3 linked regions of the Callithrix jacchus genome follow. The protein of the gene in region 2 interacts with the protein of the main gene of each other region in a biochemical or structural test. Links are inferred from orthologs where the notes say so. Each region holds a gene or a part of one and is shown on either strand. Other genes may lie near its edges. The genes, in order: SMARCA2, SIN3A and SMARCA4.

What was found.
Region 1: the proteins of SIN3A (region 2) and SMARCA2 form a complex in vitro, tested with the Homo sapiens proteins (2 studies listed by BioGRID). The link is inferred for Callithrix jacchus from reciprocal best matches to the Homo sapiens genes SIN3A and SMARCA2.
Region 3: the proteins of SIN3A (region 2) and SMARCA4 form a complex in vitro, tested with the Homo sapiens proteins (2 studies listed by BioGRID). The link is inferred for Callithrix jacchus from reciprocal best matches to the Homo sapiens genes SIN3A and SMARCA4.

What each region holds. Positions count from the first base shown.
Region 1 is NC_133502.1:108,677,978-108,681,568, reverse strand, and holds the end of SMARCA2 (SWI/SNF-related matrix-associated actin-dependent regulator of chromatin subfamily A member 2), read right to left. Parts: intron 3,010-3,591; coding exon 2,867-3,009; intron 1,572-2,866; coding exon 1,536-1,571; 3' UTR 650-1,535; downstream 1-649. UniProt on the Homo sapiens protein: ATPase involved in transcriptional activation and repression of select genes by chromatin remodeling (alteration of DNA-nucleosome topology).
Region 2 is NC_133509.1:22,403,239-22,407,520, reverse strand, and holds the start of SIN3A (paired amphipathic helix protein Sin3a), read right to left. Parts: upstream 2,884-4,282; 5' UTR 2,703-2,883; intron 1-2,702. UniProt on the Homo sapiens protein: Acts as a transcriptional repressor. Corepressor for REST. Interacts with MXI1 to repress MYC responsive genes and antagonize MYC oncogenic activities. Also interacts with MXD1-MAX heterodimers to repress transcription by tethering SIN3A to DNA.
Region 3 is NC_133523.1:10,186,379-10,190,560, reverse strand, and holds part of SMARCA4 (SWI/SNF-related matrix-associated actin-dependent regulator of chromatin subfamily A member 4), read right to left. Parts: intron 3,658-4,182; coding exon 3,494-3,657; intron 1,269-3,493; coding exon 1,041-1,268; intron 794-1,040; coding exon 695-793; intron 438-694; coding exon 360-437; intron 1-359. UniProt on the Homo sapiens protein: ATPase involved in transcriptional activation and repression of select genes by chromatin remodeling (alteration of DNA-nucleosome topology).

The sequences.
Region 1 (3,591 bases), on a different chromosome or scaffold from region 2:
AAAGATAATGAGATGAATATTACTATCAAAGTGTGAGCCTTGAAAAGATCCCGGCTGAAACAAAACAACTACAAAATAATGTTAGAACAATTGGGAAAATGTGACTATGGCTTGTCTATTAGATATCAGGGAACTATCAATTCCTTTTGTGTGATACTGGACTGTAGTTGGCTAGGAGATACCCTTTTTCTTAGATGCAAAGTATCATGATGACTGCAACTTACTTTCCAGTGGTTTGGTAAAATAACAGGGTAAGGATAAATCATTGTTGAATTTCAGTTGGATGGTATATAGGTGTTCACTGAACCAGTCTTTTGATGGAATATTTTTGAAACCTTTCAAAATCAAAAGACATAAATAGCAATAGAGATTTTCTGATTGATTAAGAAACAAAACTGAAGGCTGAGCAGGGACTTCATACGGCTTGATCCACGGCAGCATCTCTTCTGTTGTTGAATAGTTTAATGTCATGGGTGCAGCAGGCTCCCGGGTGACACACCTGGACCACTCCAAGGAGACTGGCTCTCTCAGCCTCTCTTTTTTTCCCTATCAAGTGTTCTGTAGCAAGAGCCTGCCCAGCCCTCTCCGGAAAACTGCCACTTCAGACACAAGGGTTTCAATCCTCTAGAATGCAAAGAAAGAGGCTGCATTTGTTGAGCTAAATTATCTCTTTATTAGGAAAGCACCAACACCACATTCTTGGAAATTACTGGAATTTTATTTGCCTCAGGCTTATGACTTGCAACCAAAGACATTGTGCAAAGAAAGCAAAGATTAAGTACACTTTAGGGAGAAGGAGACGATACACATTGGAAACATAGGAGATCAGGGTGACAAAAGAAGCCATCCAATACACTATATAGATTGCAATATTCAATAGCGTTTTCAACAAAACTTTTTTTTAAATCAAGAGCAAAAAAATTAAGCAATGTTTACAGTAGACATAAATCTTATACAATTCAAAAAGCTTTTGTTCAGATCATAGAGCATAAAATGGAAAAATGTATATGCAGGTGAAATCTAACTACTGTACATTTATCACCTATTAAAGTTGCTTATATGTACCACAGTGTAAAAAAACAATACCGAACAAATAAAAACCTCAAAAATTGCCTGATGAAAAATAAAATAACCAGTGGCTTTTAATGGCTTCTCCTGGTTATCAGTGCTACAAAAGACAAAAATCTTCTCTGAACAGGTGATAAAACCAGGCACAATCAAACCGTTACCAAATTAGACCCACCCATAGAAATATACTATCCACCCACATATTTTCCATCAAAAGCTTTTTCGTTTGTTTCAATCTTTGAATCTCTGAGGCCCATTTGGTCACAATATGTTACAAATATCTGTGGATGTGTGTGTTTTTTACACCATGATATCATATGTTTGTCTGGCACTATCCTAAAGCTAGTTTATAGATGATGATGATATAGAAACAACCCAGTGCCTATATGACAAATGAACTCACTGGGTAGAAATGAGACAGGGGAGGAAGGAATTCAGTTCTACCAAGGAAAAAAGGTCCATATCGATCACTCATCATCAGTCCCACTTCCTTCTGACTGTTCCTAAAAGTAAAAATAAGATAAAATGAAGTAACATCACATGCGATAAAAAGAAGATATAACAACAACACACCATTAAGAGGCTAGTAAGAAAAAATAACATTTTGGAAACAACCCTCCAAATCTCTTTCCGTGGGAGCACAGAAACACATTAAAGAGGCATCAGCAGCCTCTAAGCTGCGAAGATTTCCTTATTGAAAAACCCCAAAGCAGTGTGCACCCTCTGTGCTGTTTGTGCCCTTTCACTTTAGCTGGAAAGGTTTATGGTGAATATTTTCTCGTTTCCAGCCCTAGGTTTTAGAAAATTGATGGGAGGAAAAAAAAAATACCCTGCATGTCATGTCTTCTATAGACAATGCAGTATTTTAAATGTATTCAAAAATGCTTGCATCAAGGGTTAAGGCTGGAGTGAGAAAATAATTCTGAAAACGGTCATGTGTTGAAGGTAAATCCAACTAGCACATACACTAAAAGGGAAATGTGTCTTTCCAGAAAGAAAATAATGGGTGCCAGAAAACCATCCTCTGGAAAGTGAATGGATGAAATGAAGGGCAATTCAAAAGCCAAGGTGTCGGAGTTTCTGCCCACTCTTCTACCTTGCTGACCAGTCAGGGATAGCACACTAGACTGAGTTATGTTACTTGGGTCCAAATTCCACCCCTGTATGTGACCTGTAGCAAAACACACATAACCTAACCATTTCTGTGACACATTTTTTGAGAGTGACATCTATCTCATGATGCTGACATCAGTATTTAATATGCTAACACACAGGAAGGTACCTATTTAAATGTCTGTCTCAATAGATGCTCCTCGAATTTTTCAAATATTAAAAATAACACCCCTGGGTACTTAAAAACTCATGAGTTTTTACACAGTCCCTTAAGTAGCAACTTGAGCCAGTAACTGACGTCATAACACTTTTTCTCATTCTTCCATCTAATCTACTGCTATGTACCAGGCACCATGCTGGGTGTGATGGATATAAAATATTAACTGGCTGTGGGGTAAACCATATTTATAAGAAAGCATTTGGGAAGATTAAAAAGGGGGGAGAATGAACTTGATTTAGTAGTTTTTCACTTTTGAAGACTATTAAAAAAGCAGTAAACAAAGCCCCAATCGTTTATTTTAAATCATACAGCTCCGTTCACATCCCTCAATAATGAAATCTCACTAATCCTGACATTTCCACCCCTGGGTAATAAAGCAAAAAGGCTGAAGGGGCATGGAAATGCGAGAGGCCAGCGAGCACTGGAGAGGGCATCTCTGCCTTCATCCCAGTTGGCTATACTTACACGTTCATCCTGCTCCTCATCGCTGTCAAAATCGCTCACTACAGGTTTGGCTTTTCCTCGGTTTGGCCTTTTCTTGCCTTTCCCTTTGTCCCGGCCTTTCTCATCTTTTTTATTGAGCTTGATTTTCACCTTGACTGATTTTGCTAAAACCAAAGCAAATAAAATAGACACGAATAAGTAATCACAAGGAGATCTTTGTATTGGTGATAAGACTATCAGCAACCTGCAGACAACACAAGCATCCCAGGGTGCCCAGAACATTTCCAGTTCATGCCTGTTCTGCGTGGTTCTATCTAGTTAGCGACCCTTTCACTTGCCAACCTGTCTTCATTTGGAAGATAAATGGTATAGTCATGCTAAGCAGGCAACAAGAGGGACTGAGGTCTCCAGGAGGCCAGCCAGGCTGGGTCTTTTTCTTGTCTCCCAGTGGCTGACCAAGGATAATGAGGGGAAGTGTTTCCTACTTTGTAGAGGTGTTTGGGCAATCATTAAATAGAACTTTTGTATTAAAAATATAAATAGATGTAAGGAGTATTTTTAAAGGCCAATACTTTTACTATGTAGATTCAAGTAGTTGAATAATATTTTTAACATAGAGGTACAAAATGGAAAGTAAAAAGAAACACTTTGAATGCTTCTCTTCCCCCATTCCTAGTCTCGCTCCCTACAACTCTCTTGTAATTATTTCCAGGAAAAAAAAAAAAATTATTTCCATACCTGCAAGT
Region 2 (4,282 bases):
CTGTGCCCTCTCTGGTGTAGGTAACAGTGCCTCGAACACACAGTGAGACAAAGTGCTTTTAATTCCTAGTCTGCTTTTATTTATTCACCAAATAAAGCGTGGGCCTGAGCTGACTTCACTTTGAGGGGACACTCTCCCAGCGTCAGGAGAGGGGGCGGGATTAGGTTTTTACCGCACTCCAGAGGAAGCCGAATCCTCCTCCCAAGGGACAGGCACGGCGAACCCACTCCTGGGTCCAACTCTGTTCTCCCTCTGCAATCAGTGGAAATGGCCAGGAAAGAGCTCTGGCAGCAGGTGGGCCTGACTCCAGTGATGGCTTCGAGCCACAAAACCACGACAGCGAATTGTGAAGTTCAAGGGGAGTCGACAGGTGGGAGCAGCCTCGCCAGTAGCCAAGCCCTGTCCCGGAACGGAGCTCTAAAAATAAGACCAACGAAGCGACCCCTGGGCCAAACTGCTGGGATGCTAGGAGGAAGTGGCACTCCAGCAGAACCGACCCAAAACTCCTAACTTTGCGCCCCCTTCCACCACTAAACTGAGTATCACGGGGCAGGCTCACCATGGTATCAAAAACTACTCAGAACCCAAGCCAGCATTAGGCCGCTCACGACTTCCCGTGACCACAGGGTACTACCTGCGCTGGATCTCGCCAAAGGGTCCCAGGCCAGCGCTCTAGGTTGTCAAGAATCTTAGACACAGCCAACTAAGGACGGCAGCTACCTGCCTAGGGAAGAACAAACGCTTTCAGCGTCTACAGAGTTCTCAGTTTAAGCTCAGGGAAGTCAAGGGGCGCGGAAATAGACAAGCCACAGGGTCAGAACTTCAGTACTTGGCCCCGGCCACGAAGTGCAGATCTCAACCCCTGCAGAACCTCCGGAGCTTCGCTACCGAAATCCACTCCTCACTGTAATCCCCTGGCTTCACCCCGAAGGCTACCAAGTCTAGAGCCTCGGTGGAACCTTTGTGTGGCTTCTCGGCTATCCCCGCCCCCCTCGCCAAGGGCGCCGAGCCTAGGACTTCCGGGCGGGAGGGCAGTTCGAAGGAGCGAGGCGGGCCTCACACATGTGCCGAGCGCGCTCAAGAGCGAAGGGAGGAGGCGGGGAACAAGAGTGGACTTCCCACTCCAAGCTCGCAAAGCCGGAGGAGGCCGGGCTACTCGTCCCACCAATCAGAGGCGGGGGCGGGACCCTGCGCCTCTTGTCAGCGGCAGGAACCCTCCCTCCTCCCTCCGCGGAAAAAAAATCCTAGCAACTTAAACTCCAGCCCGGCCTCCCGATAGGCGGAGCTCGGGAGAATGCCATCCAATCCACTTCCGAGAAGGAGGAAAAAAGGGGGTCTCACCCAGCCAGTGGAAGACAAGAGAAGGCGGGGCCCCCGGGCGAGCCCGAGGTAGGTGGGAGAGAGGAAACGGACCCGCCCCTCAGCTCCCCTCCAGGCGGGTTGCACAAGCCGCCGGTGGAGTAGATAGTAAACAGTCTGGGTCGAGGAGTGTTGGCAGGGGCCGCCTGGCGCTCGGTGGACGGGAGCCCCTGCGCCGCCTCTCCCGGCGTTGCCCCGCCCGGCCGGGACGGTTCGCGCCGGCGCTCCGCCTACCCGCTCACGGCCGCCATCCCGGCTGACAGGCGCGCCCCCCGCGCCCCTCCCGCCCGCTGATGCATTTCCTTTTCCCGATTCCGAGCGTGGAGACTGTTTTCCCAGTTTCCGACCTTCACTGCCCCTTTCAGGCCACCCCCTCGTGGGCGCGCACACGCCCGCGCCCCCGCCCCATCCGCGCGGAGCGGCCCGCAGTGGCACCTCGCGGGAAGGGGGAGCCCGGCGGCGGCACGGCCGGGGGAGGGGAAAAGAGCAGCAGTCGCCGCCGCCGCCGCCTTGGGGTGGGCGGGGAAGCAGGCAGCTCCATGTTTGCAAGGAGATCAGCCGGGGCCGCGGGGCGAAGCCGCCGAGTTCCTGGGGGTTTTCCCCACCACCGGTGCGAGCTCCTCGCCGGCTCGCGGCCTGCCGGGTTCTGGCACCGAATGCTGATGACCGCTACGGCCGGGGAGTTCGGAGCCTCGGCAGCTCGCGGGGTTAGCGGCGAGGCGCAGCGGCTCTTTCCGGTGGCCTCTCCCGCCCCCGGCTACCCCTCCCGCAAGTCCGGTGTTGCCCCCGCCCCCCGAGTCCATAACAACCGCGGGCCCACTGTGCCCGCGCCTCTCCAGAGCGCGCCCACCGCCCCCTCCGACAAGTTTGCAGGCAGAAACAAAACCCTCGGGGCGGCTGCCGCCCTTGCTCAGCGTGGGTAGTCGGGAAAGCCGCGGGCCCCGGCTCGCTCGCTAACTCCAGCTCTCAAGCAACTCCGGGCGCCGCAAGCTCAATGGGCCCTGCCGACCATGCTCGAGCCGCCGCCCCCTGCCGAGCCTGCAAGCCGCAACCCGGGCCCGGTTCTAGTCGGCGTGTGGAATCCCCCTTTTCCTTCCTAATGTTTTTCTTTTTTTGAAAAAGGCACAACAGGAGCGGGGGTCTCCTGCCCGCCCCTTCTCCAGTACGCCGCCAAAACCTACCAAAACCGACTGCTCGGTGAGATAAACTAAGCGGCACTGCCGGCGCAGGGACGACCCAGGCCGGACCGACCCCCTCCCCACGGCTCCGGCCCGGCTCGAAACACACACACAGGCGAGCGGGCGGCGCCAAGAGCTCTCCTTCCTGGCCTGTCCCTCGCCTACCTCGGCCGCGGGACTCCGAGCCTCCCCTCAGCTCGGTCCCAGGGCCCGTGGGGCTCACACCACGTCGGGCCGGCCAGACCGAGCGGCCGGGGGATTAGCCCCCCAAACGACTGAGATTGGGGGGACCAAATTAAAAGCAGCTGTTTAACATACCTTCCGAGCCAGGCGAGGAGTCCTGAATGGGGGGGAACGCCCCCCACGGGCCATTGGCTCCCCGGAGCTCACGTCAGTCACCCTGGGCCCGCCTCCGCCCTTCGCCCCGCCTCTTCCCCTTCATTGAATGCTCCCTCCTTCCAAAAAATATAAATAAATTTATTAAACTAAACGCTAGTGAGAGACGTATCCGTGGTAGAGGCCCTTATAGCTTCCACACCGCCGACTGGAGTTTCTTGAGGTCCTCGGACTGGAAGGAGGCCTTCTGGGACTCGGAGATCTTCAGGGTGGATGCGGATGATGAGCCAGCCGGGCTACCCGGCCCCAACTTCCTTCACACACACAACCTATTTGGAGCTAGACAGTATAGGAGGTAGGTGCACCCTAGGCACTGGCTGAGGTGGGCAGACTCCTCTGGCTGTGTGACCTAACCGTGTCCGGTCCACTCTGTTAGGTAGACCTAAAAGCGAGTAACGCAAACGGGAAGCCCTGCTTCCGCGGGCAGCAGGCACTTGTCCCTACTGTGGGTGAGGCAGACATTCATACTGCATCTGCTGCTAGGTGCAGTTACAGACTGGGTGACGTGCTTACTCTACCCCTCCAAGGGCTCCAGATTCAGCCGAGGAGAGTCTACGTAAGGCACTAAGGCAAGGCAGGAATGTGTATGTAAATAGACATCCATAGGAGCTCAGAGAAGAGAGATTCCTTCTGCTGAAGGAAAATTGGTTTCATGGAGGAGGTGGCATTCAAGTTGGGTCTTAAAGATTTCATCAAGCAGAATTGGAGGGGCAGGTCATTGTCAGCAAAGGACACAAAGGGGTAAATGCAAAAAAATGACCTTCATATGTGGCTATAGCCATAAAAAAGGGTTGGGGGTGTGGAAATGGAACCACTTTACAACTTTTAGTTGGGTGAAATTCTTGGATGTGCACAGCCGAATATGCAGGCAGCACCGTCACAGGCCCACAACTATAGTGTAAGATGTTTGGCACCCTGGCAGAAAGATGGGTTCTGACGGTGGACTGAGAAGTGCCTATAAGCAGCAAGGGGAGGCCCAGAGGCTGTTGTAATACTGCGTTTGGAGACTACAGAAGTGCCTCTTGTGGAAGGAATAGCTGGGGGAAGAGAAGGCTTCTTTTCTCTATCCCAGCCACCCAGTCTGAAAGCTCTCCCCACCTTCAGCAGCCTGCAAGTCAAAGCTTTGACTCAGATCTTTCCTTGCATCATTTGCTTTATTTATCATAACTTCCCACCAAAAGGAGTTTCTGGGGGACACAAGCCACCCAACATGTCTGTGTTCCAGAGAGATGAGCCTACCTAGACCCACGGCACACAATGTGAAAAAAATACCTGTTTGTTGAGGCACTAAGAAAAAGGAAGTTAATGTGGATAAGGTGGGGTGTGCAGAATGTGAAGGACCTTGGAGT
Region 3 (4,182 bases), on a different chromosome or scaffold from region 2:
GGGGCTCTTCAACTGAAGCCATGGTCAGTCCTCGGCCTTGGACAGGGCAAACTCCCTCTGAAAGAGAGTATGTGAAGCCCTAAAGAGCCGGTTAGAAAGCATAGCTGGCTGGGCAGGACTAGGACCACAGGCAGAATGGGTGGGTGTACATCTCACCCTCCAATATCATGCTCAGAAGGCTGGGGTGGAAGACGGGTCAGTCTGGAGACATGAATGGGCTACACTGTGAGTTGAGCTATCCCTGGCTCCCTGACCTGCTGGGGACACCACCACGGGCACAGGCACTAAGACCTCTGCTCTGCTCCTGGCGGCGGCAGAGTGGGATGCCTGAACCGCACTGTGCAGCCTGCGGTGCTTACCATGAACAGGTCAAACTCCTCTTCATGCCGGGCGATCATCTGGTTGACAGTCTCATCGTCGGGCACCTCATCTTCCTCCTACAAGATTGCAAACTGTCAGTGCCGCTGCGGAGGGGCCGGGGTGGGCGGCGGCCGAGCTCAGTGGTGAGCGGTGGCGTCCGTGGGAATGAGCTGGTGGTCCCGGCGCGGCTGCGGTGGATGGGGACCCACACGGCAGCGAGAGGCATACACACGCACACGCACACGCACGCTCCGTGGGACCAGGGCCCTTGCTGGCCATCTCAGCCGAGAAGCCGAGGATTGAATGGGCATGGAGACTGAACTACCCCTCTCACCTTTAGAGGTGGCTCCTCCAAGTCGGGGTTGACGCCCGCTGGCGGAGGGGCAGTGTGGGCGAAGCTGGCACTGCCGCTGCCCGTGCTGCAGTGTCTACTCTGTGGATAAATAGAGGACTTCAGTCTCCAGGGCTGTCAATCCGGCGTCTTTCACCAGCAGTTTAGAAAAAAAACCACTTCAAAGAAAAAGCAAGTACTCATCCTCTTTCCGTTCAGCCCACACTCCCTTTACTCCAAAGGGATGCAAAAAAAATAAGAGTGCAAAAAAGGTAAAAAAACAAAAATGAAAGCCGCTCATGCGTCCACCACTCACGCTGGGGGGGTTTGGGGCTGGCGCTGGGCTCACCTCGTCCTGCTCCTCGTGCTCCAGGATGGCCTGCAGAAAGGCGCGCCGCTCGTGGCTGGAGGACTTCTGGTCAAACATGCCGGCCTGGATCACCTTCTGGTCCACATTGAGCTTGTACTTGGCGGCGGCCAGGATCTTCTCCTCCACACTGTTGACCGTGCAGAGGCGGAGCACACGCACCTCATTTTGCTGCCCGATGCGGTGGGCTCGGTCCTGCGCTTGCAGGTCCTGGAGGAAGAGGTGCCAGTCAGTCCCAAAGAAGCTCAGAAGGGAGAAGGTGGCCTCCGACATGAGCTGGAGAGGTGTGGTGTGAATGCCACCCTCAGCCTGGCAATTCTGTCCAGACCAACCTGCAGCCACAGGAGCTGGGAGCCTGGGTCGCCACGTGTCCCTGGGGGTAGGGGGCTCTCATCACGTTCCTCCAGAAGTGCCACCTTCTACCTTACTGGGACCTGACAGATACTCGGGAAATCACCAACCCCCGGGGGGTTATGTTCTCAAGCAGCTCCTGTGGCAGCTGCATAGCTCCCCAGTGTGGCCTTGCACAGCTGAGCACCGTTTACAGGATGGGGTCAAAGCCCAGCTGCGCTCTGGCGGTGCTTGGTTTGGCTGCAGGCCCTGCCATTCTCTCACTGTGCACACAAAACCGGAACCAGGTCTCACCTTTGTGAGTCTCAAAACTCCCTCTACTGACATTGGGCCCACCCCGTGGCTACTGTGTGGCCTCTATGAGTGAATAAATACCTGGAGCATGGTCCAGTGACTGGTGCAGTCAGGTCCCAACAACATGGGTGCCGTGGCTGGGCTGTTAGCTTTTTTGGGTTTTTTTTTGGGACAAGGTCTTGCTCTGTCACCCAGGCTGAAGTGCAGTGGCACGATCTCAGCTCACTGCAACCTCTGTCTCCCGAAGTTCAAGCAATTCTCCTGCCTCAGCTTCCTGAGTAGCTGGGACTACAGGCGCACACCACCATGCCTGCCTAATTTTTGTATTTTTAGTAGAGACAGGGTTTTGCCATGTGCTCTGCCTCCCAAAATGCCGAGATTATAAGTGTGAGCCACTTATAATCTCCTGGGCTGCTTGTTTTATCATCACCCCAGCACAGGGCAAGGAGGCTCCCATGAAATCCCGTCTCTGCGCCCAGGAGCTGTAGGGACAGGCTAAGCACCAGTGATACTCCTAAACTCAAGACTGGCACCCATGTTGTGGCAGAGGCCACAGCTGGTGGGGTCCCGGAGTGCCTTGCGTCTGCTGCTCAGGCCTCCTGCCCCTGTTAGCACGCTTCCCGGCAGGGCAAGCCTTCCGCAATGTGCCCCTGGCCCTGGGATGTAGCCTCTGCCCACTGCCGGCCTGCCAACAGGGAGGCATAACCCCACCACCTCTCGAGAAACTGACTAGTCACCAGGGTCTGGGCAGAAACTATACCCCAGCCTGATCACAGGAGGGGACACCAGTGACCAACAGGCATTCACCCATCAGACGAGTGACAATTTAGACAGAGAACACTGGCGCCCCCAAGCTGCAGGGAAGGACAGGAAATGTTCACACCTCAGCGGTGGGAGTGAAACTGCTTTGGTAGAAGCAACCAGCACGTGAAGGGGACAATGCTGGGCTGGAGCGAGCCCACGTCTGAAGGCTGAGCAAACCTTAGGGTATTGGCACAAGATGTCCTGGGGCAGCCATCTGCTGGCTGATTAGATGGCCAGGCAGCTTGCAATGTGCACCTGGCAGTTGACACCCACTGCTCGGTGGAAGAGACACCTGCCAGGCCACGCCGCCTCTGTTAATCTCAGTACACACGTTCACGAAGGCAGACGGGCTGGCAGAGACTCGGGACAGAGCAGGGCTGGACAGGAAGGGAAAAGGGACTCCTGACCACGTGTCACTGGTGTTTGCGTATTAAAAATAACAAGAATGTGACAGCCTTACAATGAAACACAGAGAAGAGTTTTGTGCATTTTGAAACTCTTGTAGCTTTGTAACAGCATGACCTGGTATCCACCTACACTGAGGTCCATGGGGAGTACATGGTTATGGAACAAGAGGAGGAAGTAAACAAGGGGCATGGAGTTCACCCCCAGTTGTCTGAACAAGTGCCAGCGTGTGCAAGCACACAGCATGCCTGCGGGGCTGGCCCACAGTGATGGCACGGGATTGATTAGGGTACCTTCCACCTCCTTCTCACTGGGGCCATTCCAAGATTTAAGAAAAACCAAAATGATAGATGGCTTCTACACTGCTTTCCCAATCAGAGGGAAAGGCTGTTTGTATTTTGGGAAACAGGACCCCTTCTCTGCTGTCTCGATGACCTATGGAGATATGGGTGTGGCTCTTCCTGGCTACTGGAGGCCAGGACAATGTGGAGGAGGCTGGAGGACCCTCAAGCCAGGGTCAGTGTTGAGGTTTCACAGGCACCACCTCCTTTCCCCCCAACCTGCGCTCAGCCTGCTTTTACCTGGTGAGGATTCCAGTCGCTGTCGAAAATGATCACAGTGTCAGCCGACTGGAGGTTCAGGCCGAGCCCCCCGGCCCGGGTGCTGAGCAGGAAGATGAAGTACTCGGAGCCGGGCTCGTTGAAGGTTTTCAGCAGCATGCCCCGGTCTTCCGCCTTCGTGGTTCCTGACAGGCACAGAGAAGAACAGGGTCAGTGGGGTGACCAGGGGTGGGGAGCAGGTGCCAGGGAAAACCTGCTTCTGATGCTGCAACAGAATTGGTTCCCGCCAGCATCCCTAGATCCCTGGCTCTGCACTCTCCACACAGGCCTGTGGGCCACTGGTGAGTACCCAGATTTCCAGTTTTACCACCCAATGCCTCTCTACCCACCTCAGAGATTAAAATAGGCCTTGGTGGGAGAACTAGAGGAGGCAGGCCTGGAGCACAGAGCCTGGCACCTAACTCACAGTCACGCCACAGGGTCAGCACGGCCGCCACCACCACAGCCCTGGACTCTCCCCTACTCTGCCATGTGCCATTCCATGGGGAGCAGAGACACAGCAGCCAATGCTGGCAACACCGCTGCCCGAAACACAAAGGACCTGGGTGTGGGCGGACAGTGACTTCGGGTTCACCTGCCTTCAGCCTTGTCTCAACAGGTTTTGTGATTCACAAAATCCTCTATAGGTAAGAGCATGGGGCTTGCGTCCC